3 linked regions of the Oryctolagus cuniculus genome follow. The protein of the gene in region 1 interacts with the protein of each later gene in a pairwise test. Links are inferred from orthologs where the notes say so. Each region holds a gene or a part of one and is shown on either strand. Other genes may lie near its edges. The genes, in order: APPL2, RAB5C and RAB22A.

The links.
Region 2: the proteins of APPL2 (region 1) and RAB5C interact in binary tests that used the Homo sapiens proteins (3 or more experiments, as listed by UniProt). The two-hybrid records come from large-scale screens. The link is inferred for Oryctolagus cuniculus from reciprocal best matches to the Homo sapiens genes APPL2 and RAB5C.
Region 3: the proteins of APPL2 (region 1) and RAB22A interact in binary tests that used the Homo sapiens proteins (3 or more experiments, as listed by UniProt). The two-hybrid records come from large-scale screens. The link is inferred for Oryctolagus cuniculus from reciprocal best matches to the Homo sapiens genes APPL2 and RAB22A.

What each region holds. Positions count from the first base shown.
Region 1 is NC_091442.1:107,909,895-107,913,637, reverse strand, and holds the start of APPL2 (DCC-interacting protein 13-beta), read left to right. Parts: upstream 1-1,196; 5' UTR 1,197-1,400; coding exon 1,401-1,454; intron 1,455-1,700; exon of another isoform or gene 1,701-1,873; intron 1,874-3,743. UniProt on the Homo sapiens protein: Multifunctional adapter protein that binds to various membrane receptors, nuclear factors and signaling proteins to regulate many processes, such as cell proliferation, immune response, endosomal trafficking and cell metabolism.
Region 2 is NC_091448.1:20,643,132-20,646,874, forward strand, and holds the start of RAB5C (ras-related protein Rab-5C), read left to right. Parts: upstream 1-1,088; 5' UTR 1,089-1,247; intron 1,248-1,427; exon of another isoform or gene 1,428-2,163; intron 2,164-3,743. UniProt on the Homo sapiens protein: The small GTPases Rab are key regulators of intracellular membrane trafficking, from the formation of transport vesicles to their fusion with membranes.
Region 3 is NC_091442.1:3,835,363-3,839,005, reverse strand, and holds part of RAB22A (ras-related protein Rab-22A), read left to right. Parts: intron 1-1,473; coding exon 1,474-1,545; intron 1,546-1,632; coding exon 1,633-1,739; intron 1,740-2,340; coding exon 2,341-2,450; intron 2,451-3,643. UniProt on the Homo sapiens protein: Plays a role in endocytosis and intracellular protein transport. Mediates trafficking of TF from early endosomes to recycling endosomes. Required for NGF-mediated endocytosis of NTRK1, and subsequent neurite outgrowth.

The sequences.
Region 1 (3,743 bases):
GGATGGCTGGGTTGGGAACAATTACAGGTGTTATTCTAGAACAATCCAGCCGAGTGCCATGGATGCACATTGAAGGAAAGGAAGACCTACTTCCCTTAGGGGGACAGGAGGAAATGAAATGTTCACAGAAGCTCACGTTAATCTGGGATGTGAAGGTGGTAGCTGGGCCGGCGAGACAGGGAAGCAGGAGGAACGGCACTGCAGGCAGAGGAAAAAACTTGCCTACCCCCTCCCCCCATGCCGTTTGCTGAGCATCTTCTCCAAACGGGTCACCTGAGCCCGGAGCACCCTTGGCAGCTGCACCTCCCCTCTCCTCCCTTCCGTCTTTCTTTTCTCATTCTCAAACCCCGAGTCTTTCTCTGACCTGGTCCCTTCTTGGGCCCTTTTTATGTCTAACGGTGTCTTTCCCCCATTGGTCTTCAATGGGCCAAAGGTTACATACGACTTGCAGGGGGCTCATCCTCTCTCTCCCCGGATGTCATGGCAACTCCACACTGTCCATCTTCAAACCCCTGTCACTAACCTCACAGGTGTCCACGAATTTCAGATACTGTTAAGGGGATGTCCGAAACTTCACAATAGTTTTAAAAGGGACAGATTAGATTTTTAAAGCGTCTGGGATATTATATGAAGGTAATGTGAAATTAACTGAATTGCACTTGGTAGGAAATAGAGGAAAATGGAGCAGCACGTATGAGCATGATTCCCCTTCAGGGAAGAAAGTATATGGTGGGGAAACCAAGCAGGATGGAAGCCATAGAATGGCGCAGGCCAAGGGCACAATGACATCCCTCTTCCTCTGGCTTTCAGCTTGACCCTAACCAAGTCATTTAATTCTCTGCGTCCCATTTTCTCCTGTCCGATGACAGCACTGAACCAGATGTGCCAAGAGCAGGGCTGTCCTCGTGTGTAGTGAGAATAACCGCAGCAAAATCCGTTCGCTCCTATCTCCTTCCACTCAGCAGGCTTTTCGGGCGCCCACAAGCAGATAAAGCCTTATCTTCCTACCCTAGAGACCCCTTTCTTCGGTTTCACTCATTCTGTGCGCTCACTGCCGAAAGCGGAGCCCCAACACCGCAAGCAATCCCTCTGCGTGCAGAAGCGGAAGTGGGGCAGCCACACTTCCGGTACCTGGCCTGATCCCGCCACACTTCCGGTGTCCCGGCCTCCGCTCGCCACACTTCCTGTTGATCCGGCCGGCTGGCCGGGGGCTGGGCTGGGCTGGCCGGGGAGGCGGGCCGGCGGGCGGGCGGCGGCGGCCACTGGGCAGGCGTGGGCGCGCGCGTGGCTACCGCGGGCACGGAGCGTCCGCCGCGTCGCCGGAGCCCACAGCACCCTGGACGGCCGCGCCTCTCGCCTTTCGTCCTCCCGTCCGGCCCTCGGCCCCGCCGCGCCGCGCCATGCCCGCCGTGGACAAGCTCCTGCTGGAGGAGGCGTTGCAGGACAGCCCCCAGGTACGCCCGCGGCGTGAGGCCGGATCCTCCGGAGGGGGTGGGCGGGCAGACCCCGCGGCCGTGGGGGTCGTGGACGGTGTCGTGACGACCTTCCAGCCTCAGCTGAGACCGAGCTGTGGGGTGAGGACCGCCTGCCTTAGGAGCCGAGTGCTCGGGGCAGATCAGCGTTTGGTGTCTTCGCTTTGTCCTGTGCAAAGTAGGGGTGATGCGTGTCCCTCCTGGCTGTTGAGTGCAGTGGGGAAGTACCTGGAGAGTTGTCGGCTGGGTCTGGCGCGAGGTCTTGTCCTGTTTCACTGCTTGCGAGCTCCGTCCCGCGCTAGTACTGGTGTCATGAGACCTGGTGGGTTTCGGGCCAGGATGGGAGGCGAGGAGCCGGATGCCGTCCCCGCGGCCCCAGGCCTCCCTGGCATCGTTGTCCCACTTGCAGAGAGAGGATTACGCTGCTTGCCCTATTTGTGGCACAGGGGAGCTTGTTTAGCAAACACGCGAGTCAAAGGCTCTGAGCTGCGGGCCAAAGCTGCCTGTAGCTTCAGCAAATGAGTTCCTGACCCGGAGCCTTTGCTCTGGGGTCTTTTGTTCCTCTTCCTTTTTTAAAAGATTTATTTATTTTATTTGAGAGGCAGAAAGAGATCTTCCATCTGCTGGTTCACTCCCCAAATGGCTGCAAAGGCCAGAGCTGAGCTGATCTGGAGCCAGGAGCCAAGAGCTTCTTCCAGGTCTCCTACGTGAGTGCAGGGGCCCAAGGACATGGGCCATCCTCTGCTGCTTTCCCAGGCCACAGCAGGGAGCTGGATCGGAAGTGGAGCAGCCGGGACTCGAACCAGCGCCCATATGGGATGCCGGCACTGCAGGCGATGGCTTTACCTGCTGTGCCACAGCGCCAGCCCCATTCCTCTTCCTTTAACATTTCCCCAACTTCAAATCTGCCCTCCTGTGTGCATTCTTGGGTTATTGAAATAAGTGTCTATTCCTTACTGTCTCCACTCTGGGAAAATCCGAATGCAGTTAAGCTGTTCTGGTCTTGCCTGGTCGTCCTGGGTCCCAGTCCCTTTTCTCCCTGGAGGGAATCGCGCCCTCCTAGGGTGATCCTTGAGTGCAGGTCCCTACACCTGCTCAGCACCCCTCCAGCCCAGAATAGATCAGAAGCTCTGCGTGCCCATTCCTGCGTAACTGAAAGCAAGCTGTGGCTTTTTTTTTTCCTTTCTTAAATTCACATCCACTGGGCTGCCTGACCTTCCCAAGGCCTCCTGTATGAGACTTGTGTTGTTCAGTGGACAGAAGACAGTTTCAGAAGGCACCTCAGCCATCTGTACCTGTTGTGTGGGATCTGGACGTCAGAAAGAGGAAGTTTCTAACAGTCACTGTAACCAGGGATTTCTGTTTGCTCTGTGGCTGGGGATACCGAGGTGCTAAGATACACTGCTTTCCTTACCAGACGTGGTGATGGCCGAGCCACGTGAGAGAGGTCGCACTAACTGCCGCCATGTTGTCCTCCCTAAGGTCCTGGCTCCCACAAGCGAGTCTACACTGGGAGAGTGGTTTGTAGGGTTTACTCTGCCCTGAGGACGCAGTGAGCGGTCTGGCAGGCCTGGATTCTAATTCCGACCCTGTCCCTGACTTCTCCTGGGATGGGGGCGGGTCAGCAAATCCCCACCGAGAGGCCGGCCCAGTTAGCCCAGATCTGCAGAGCGAGAGGCAGGGAGCCCAGGTGTGTGCTCAGGGAGCCGCAGGAGCCGCAGCGGTCCGTCCTGTCTGCCTGCTTGCGGCTGTACGCGTGGCGTTTATGACTGTGGACACTGTCATTGCGCTTGGACGTGCCTCTTCACGAAGGGAGTGCCTCTATCATTGCTGCCGACCTCGGCCGCACCCTGTGAGGGGTCCTGTTGTGCTTGTGGAACAGCACGCACGCGCACTGTAAGGTCCGGGACGCTCCGCAGAGCGGGTAGCGCTGGATGGCAGGTGGCCTGGGCCTGGCCCGGCCCGGCCTCGCTCCCAGGGCGATTCATAGACTCGGACCAGAGGGAAGCTTGCCCAGCACCTTCCTCTTACGTGAAAAGATGAAGACAGCCGGAGCTCCTGAGTGCGTTTTATTGCCAGGCCCTGTTGTATCAGCTCACTGGATCCCCCAGCCATCTTTTATAGCTGGTCCTCTAGAAACGACTGGAGAGCAGAGAAGAGAAGGCACTGCCCGAGAGCTCGGCGGCCCGGCCGATGGCCATGACTAGAGGATTGCGCACGTTAGCCCAGGCCCCTGGCCCCTGGCCTGGCCACTGTCGGCCACCTAAAACG
Region 2 (3,743 bases), on another chromosome or scaffold:
GGCTCAGGCCTACCTCCAGCCTTGGCAAGGAGTGCCCAGGGGACTCCCTACCCTTCCTACCCAGGGAGGGGTTGCTGGGCTCCGTGCAGCAGGCGCTGGGAGAAGAGCTGGGCACCAGCCAAGCTCCTGGTGGGAATCTCACCCTGCCCCATGCCCCCTGCCCTCCCAAGCCCTCCCAGCTTTCACTTCTCTGATGGTGGCTGCCAGGAGGAGGGGAGCTGTGGATGTTCTAAAGAAAGAAGCACCTGCTAACCAGCTGCAGCCAGATGTGCAGCCAGATTCTGCAGCTCAGCCTCTAGGCTACGACGGGTGATGGCGGCTGTCACAGACAGATTCCATAGGGCTTTTGGGTAGCGTCCCTGAGGAGTGAGAGGAAGAAATAGGAGAGGTACTGGCTTGTGTTGGGAGGTGAGGGGCTGAGGAGGGGAAGGGGGGGCGGGGAGAATAAGGAGAAGTGGCCCTAAACCTGAGGGAGAGGCGTCGGAAATGTCTCAACCTACGTGGGGGTGGGGATTCCAGCTGAGGCAGCAGGTATCCAGCTCTGTATCTGCTTCCAGTCGGGTGTGGGGAGGGGTAGAGGGGCAGAGGTGGTTCTGTGTGTCTAGGGACCAGCCCAACGCAGGAGGGTTTATAAAGCGCCCCCTTCTATGTCACCTAGCATCCCAGAGCGCCTTCCCCATCACACAGTGCCCCCAACTTCAGGAAGCGTGGCCAGGGGCTGCTCCCAGTTAGCGAGTGCACGAGACCCACGCGGCCTCCCGTACGAACTCATTCACATCACGTTTGCCCCCTCCCCAGTTCTACACACACAGTCGTCTGCCCTCTCCCATCGCTCCGCAGCCATTCGCCTTCCCTCGGGGCTCCTGGAACCCGCAGTGACGCGATTAGCAGCCCAGGCCGGCTCCGCCTCGCCCCAGCCGGCTCCACCCTAAGGCCAAGTCCCAAGCAGGCGACGGCTCCGCCCAGTGCTGCGAACTACAAGTCCCGCCGTCCCTCGCTCGCTCTCTCCCGCCTCTCCCGCGACCCTCACCGGCACCGCCTATGGGTCGGCCAGGAGGGCCTCCCATTGGCTTCTCCGCCCTGTCAGTCACCTGGGAGTAAGAGGGGCGGGGCGGAGGTAGAGATCCGGATCCGGAGCGGCTGAAAGGCGGAAGTGGAGGCCGGAGCCTGGGACACCGCCGGGGGGGAGAGGAGCGAAACCTGTCCGAGCCCCGTCCCCAAGTAACGCCGCCGTCCCCGGAGCCGCTGTGAGTGTGCCTGTCCTGGGATCCAGTGTCTCTCCAGCCCAGTTGCCTTTGCGGGGCAGCCCTTCCTTCTGCCCAGCCCTATCTTAGGGGGATACTGACCCCTCCCCCGACCCGTAGCCCCTTCTTAAGGCGCTCCGCAGGCGTCAGGCCACAGGAAGATCCCTTCTTTCCTCGACTTACCTGCCCTTTGTGAACCTTGGGGAAACCCCTGCGGCTCTCCTCTGGCCTGTCCAGTCCAGTCGCGGCGGAGAGGGACCCTGAGTTCCGCTCTCCCTGCTCCCAGAATCGGCCGGTCTTTGCCAGGTGTGCAGGAACCTGCCCCTCTTCTCCCGTAGAGGTGGCGGGGAGGGCTGTCTGTCGCCGTGTCCCCCCCACCCCGGTCCCACAGAAGCAGTTGTCCCCCGCCAGCCCTGGAGAAGTCTTGTCTCGATTTCCTTTGGGGGAGGGTGGTCTGGGGGAGGCGACTCCACGCGCATAGAAGTGTGTGTGCTCCCACAACTCCCGACTCGTTCTCCCTCCTCCAGCCAGAGAGCCAGCCAGGACCTCAGCGGAGTCTGGGGCGCGGGGCACTCCTTGGGAACGAGCAGCCTTCTTGTTTTGTCCCCGCTGTCCCCCGGCCCTGTCCTCTTGAGTGTATCTCTCTTCCTGCCTCTGAAGAATTCAGCTGAGGTTTGCTCAATGCTAGGTCAGGGTGGCTCTGCCCATTCATTATCTTCTGGCTCCCCTACTCCTCCCCCTCGGCTCCAGGCTCAGCCCTGTCCTCCCGAGAGCACGTGAGCGGTTCCCCAAGCTGCCTCTGCGGGACTGCCTTGTCCGCTGGGCTGTAGAGGAGAGAATAAGCCCAGAGAAGTGAGGAGCTGGGGCTTGAAGGACCGTTTCTTTGCTGCTCCCAGACACACACACTCGACCGCCGCCCCAGCAACAGGTCCACCCTCACCGGGGCCTCGCCTCAGTCCCCGGGGCTTGGACGTACTACAGACCAATGAGTCGAGGGCACAGTGGCAGTCTTGGGTTCTTAGCTAATTTCTGTAGCAAGAGGAGTTCCCAAATCTGCTAGAAAGGGCTGCCCTCCCCTCCCCCCGGCTGTTTTGCCATAGGATCCTACTCTGTTGTTTAGGAACTGGGTGTGTGAAATGGCTGCTGTCTCAGACCAGGCTAGACCGTTCTGTTACGTGGCCAAAGTACAGGCCAGAGACTACCTTAATGAGGAGCAGCTTGCCTGAGGCCAGGACTGACCCTTGCTATCTGCAGGGGAGGAAGGGAGGAGAGCCCCACGCTGCCGGAATCGCCGGAGCTCCTGGTGTTCCTGGGCCGCCCTCACTGCCCTTGGCTGCTGCTTCCCAGTGTTAAAGGTGTTTCTGCTTTGAGATCTTTTTTGCTGCTCTGGACAGTTGCTAGTGTGTGGTCCCTACAGTCTTTTGAGCTCGGTCTTGAACGCACTTGTTTCACTTTTTATTGGACAACAAAGCAAAACTTCCTTATTGGGCTCAACAGCTGGATCACGAGCCCTGAGCCCGTGTGGGCTCCTTGGAGACTTTGTCCGCCCTCCTCATCGGACCTGGTGGGGCTGTGGGGCTGAGGGCAGGGCCGCTGGTTCTGACGGGGTGGGCCGTGGCTGGCGGAGCGCTGCAGCAGTGCAGGGATGAGGCCGAGCGGCCGTCCGAGGGGTTCTTCTTTGCGTTGCAGCTCTGACTCGGAAGCAGGCTTCGGGAAGAGCAGCTCCCTGTTCAGAACAGTGGGGAAGGCTGTACAGCTCTGGGTGGCTGTGTAGCCACTCTGGCCTCCAAAAATTAAAGCATCGTAACAGGACGAACCCTGCCTGGCAGAGGGAGGGCTCTGTGTGGGGCAGAAGCCCCTCCTCTCTAACATGTTCCCTCCTTCCCTGGGCCCGTCACAGCGAGCTGGCCTTTTTTCTGCTGCTATACTACAGGGTGATGGTAACTGCTAATTGCTTTAGGTCATTGCAGAGTTGCAGACTTCTTTTCACACACGTCCCTCACACGTTCCTTGGGAGGTAGTGAGATTTGCATTTCCACATTGGAGATGATGCCTAAGACCACGCGGTTAGGAGGTGATGGCGCTGAGGCTTGGGATCTGGGCTCAGATGTGACCTCGGCCTTCCCTAGTGACTGGCCCTTAAATGAATGAACAGGTAGGGTGAGCATCAGGGGCACAGTGCAGGCTCTGAGCCCCTGCACCATCCTTGTCCCTGGCGCTGCTCTGCTTCCCATCTCTTCCCCCATCTTCACCCCGGCCTCCTGGCCTCCTCCTTGGCCCCCTGTGCTCTGCCTGCAGGGGCCCTGACAGGAGTTGGTGCTCTGCAGGGCCCAAGTTCGCTGACATCTGACTGCCGTCAGTTTCCTGGGAACCTGCCGGCTGATGGTTGGAAAGTGAAAGTGAAAGCCACTGGGCTCGGGGGCCTCCTGGGCCCCAGTGAGGGCGGGAGGGCCTCCGGCTGCCCTGCAGTGCTGCCCGAGGTGACGCGCCTTCACTTGA
Region 3 (3,643 bases), about 100 Mb from region 1:
TATATCTTGGTGTGGAGTGTTTGCAGGTTGTGTACGTTTGTCAGCTTGTCAAACCGTGCAGTGGTGATCTCTGTTCTTTATGTGAATTTCACCCGACAAATTGGAGTTCAGAAGAGGACCCAGCGAAGAAGCCGCACCAGGGGTGCAGCAAGCATGAAGCCAGCCCGTGCTTGGCCCCGGCTGTGTCCTCTGCCTGTTGCTAGGCTGCAGAGGTTGCGTCTCTCTCAGCTAATGAGGTCGTTTCCTTCTGTAGAATGCTTTCTTGGTTTCAACTTCCGTTTTCTTCCAAAACCTGACATCATTTTATTGGAAATCAGCGGGCTTTCACCGCAGGGGCAGGTGGTTTTCTCAGACAGCCCAGTAGCAGTGTCTGTGCGTGGACACCTGGGTCCAGCGTGTGGTTTGACTGCCCCATCCTCACCAGCTCTCAACGAGGCACTCACTAATTCTTGGTTCCCTGAGATTAAATGTTGTACTAAATAGATCCGGTGTCTTCTCTCAGGGAGTTAGCAGTCATGATTTCACTTTCCTGTGAGAAACCAAGTATTAATAGGGGAGCCCAAAAGCCAAAAGGTGAGTAAGCTCGTTGGAGGAGGAGTACAAAGCCCACTGTTCACTTGTTACTCACGTGGACAGGTTGCTTCCCTGTGAGGTCCAGTCCTGCCCGTGCTTGGCACCAGGAGCAGGGCAGGGTGTGAGCTCCGTGGTGCCCGTCGGGTGCAGGGGTCAGGGTGTGTGATGAAGTAGAAGTGCAGATTTGAATGCTGGCACCACGTGTAGTGTAAGATGCTTGCACTGGCCCACCTCCCAGGAATGGGAAAGGCTCGCCATTCTCCATCTCCTCCTCATCAAGAGAAATGCCCACTGATCAGCCTGGCTGTTTAAATGCTTGTCCTCTCCCTGCCCTCTCCTCTCTGTTGTGGTGGTGGAGCAGGGGCAGGAGGGGTGGGTGGCGTGAAGCTGGTTAGGAGCTGGGTGCACGTGTGTGGCATGATCAGAACAGAAGCTGCAGACGCGTCCCGGTGGTGAGTGTGGACGTGCGCTCATCTCGGTGGGACGGTCAGCTCTTCCATCCCAGAGGCAGCCCCTCCTCCAGAGAGCCATTTACCACGTTATTTCTATCTCCTAGATAGTTTGGGAAGCCAAAGTTTAAAGAACTGTTGAACAAATGAATTTAGGAATTATAACATGGAGTTCAATTAAAAAGCCTTTTTAGCTGAAACAATTGTTTATAGCAACATATTTAATTCCTATAAAACTGTATTGTAAACTGTCTTCTGAGAGACATTTCAGTGTTACATTAAAAGTTGTTGCCTCTGGTAATTACTGGTTCATTTGCTTTAAAGCGTCGTGTCATCATCTTTGGCTTAAGAAAAAGATTAGCTTTTGTGCCTGGATAAGAGGCTGAAAAAGTCTAGTAAAAAGCGTGTTCACTGGCTGCCTCAATTCTGTTGTTTACTCTTCCTTCCACAGTTCCGTGCCTTAGCACCAATGTACTATCGTGGGTCGGCTGCAGCCATCATCGTCTATGACATTACAAAAGAAGTAAGACTCTAAGCAATTGTCTTTGGGCGGCGTTCAGAGTTCTCTTTGGGTCGTTCAGATCTCCACTTGCTCTTCCCTGTGTCGCAGGAGACATTCTCCACGTTAAAGAACTGGGTAAAGGAGCTTCGACAGCACGGGCCGCCCAATATTGTGGTTGCCATTGCAGGAAATAAGTGTGATCTTATCGACGTCAGGTGAGTTATTAGAACACGAGATTACAGTGTGATTATCTGTTCCTTTTCTTAATGAGCAATATTCACCATAAAATCTTGCTGTTATTTTATCTCTGTCATTGAAAAATTCCTTTTTGTTGTATGGTTGCAGTCCTGAAGTTTCAAACTGAAATTACAGTTTGGAGCTAATTCTGTTACTTACATAGCGGGTGTGTGATTTACGTAAACGTTGATTGCATCGCACTTGACAGTATCGGAACTCAGTGCAGCCCTGAATACTTGAGTGCTCAGGCACACTGACTGGGCATGTCTCTGTGCCACTTCCATGACTCACAAAACAAGGGGCTTGTGGGTTTTTGTGTTGTTTAATTTGGGTGAGGGTGGGGGGATGCCTGCCAGTCCCTGGTCATTCCATTAGCTGCATTGCTGGTGGTTGTGAGCTTTGCTTTGTTGTTTTCTAACCAAAGAAGTGGTCTCCTTGGAAGAACGTGTGGTCAGTTCTTCTGTCACAGCCATTCAGGACATCCTGTGTCGTCACAAATCTGGCTGACTGCTAGGTAGGTGGGGATAGCATTAAGAACTTAATGGGTAGAATTTCTGATTTGCAATTTTTGCCTTCCAGAGAAGTCATGGAGAGAGATGCTAAGGACTATGCCGACTCCATTCATGCAATTTTTGTAGAGACCAGCGCAAAAAACGCGATAAACATAAATGAACTCTTTATAGAAATTAGTGAGTATCTGTATGCCTTACGGGTTTCCTCTGTGCAGAGCAAGTTAAAATAGAATTATCTTTCTGGTTAGAATTCCCACCTTGCTCAGAGCAGTCCAGGCTCTGATATCCTCAGTGAAATGAGATTTGAGAACATGAGAGTAACAGCCGGCTCCATATCATCGTGTAACTGTGGAGAGCTGCTGCCTGAGGACAGTGGCCCTTCCAGAAAGAACGTGCCGCTGAGTGAACAATGCCCAGGGTGCTGAGGTCGTGGAAGCTGTCATCTCTCCCTCTTTCTCTATTTAAATGTTTCAATCAGTCGTTCAAGGTCATTGAAAATGAACAAAATAAAAGGGAATGAAATACAGGTGTAATTTCACTGAAAGAAAACCCTCGAAAATGAATACAGGCGAGAGACAGGGAAGCCCTCTCTCCCCGCGCTGCCCTTCCCGTCCCGCGGCGCCGCTGTGGTGCCGCCAGCCAGGAGCCGGCCTGCTGCTCCCTCGGGATGCTCTGCAGGTTGCAGCTGTGCGTGTTCGCTGCATTCAGATTCATCGAAACGTTGATTGGGAGCTGCCAGACCAGGGAGACGGCCAGGGAGACGGCCAGAGGAGACGGCCAGGGAGACGGCCAGGGAGAGACGCAGCCCCGCTCCCCTGCAGTGCCTGCCGAGGGAGGCGCACCCTGAACGCCAGATAAATAGGATCATTTCAGATAGCAATCAGTGATAAAGAGGAAATAATTTAGAGTGAAATTTTTTTTGTTATTTGACAAGTAGAGTTAGAGAGAGAGACAGAAAGGTCTTCCTTCCTTTGGTCCACTCCCCAACTGGCCACCATGGCCAGCGCTATGCCGATCCGAAGCCAGGAGCCAGGTGCTTCCTGCTGGTCTCCCATGCGGGTGCAGGGCCCACGCACTTGGGCCATCCTCCGCTGCCTTCCCAGGCCACAGCAGAGAGCTGGACTGGAAGTGGAGCAGCCAGGACTAGAACCGGCGCCCATATGGGATGCCGGTGCTGCAAGTGGAGGATTAACCAAGTGAGCCACAGCGCCAGCCCCTAGAGTGAAATTTTTAAAAGAAGTACGTTTGCAGGCGGTCAGGGAAGGCTTCTCTGGAGAGATGGTCTTTGATCTGAGGTCTGAGGGAGCAGGCCTTGCTGACGTGTGTGGAGTCCCATGAACTGAACAGACCACCAGCCTCTGAGCGCGGCA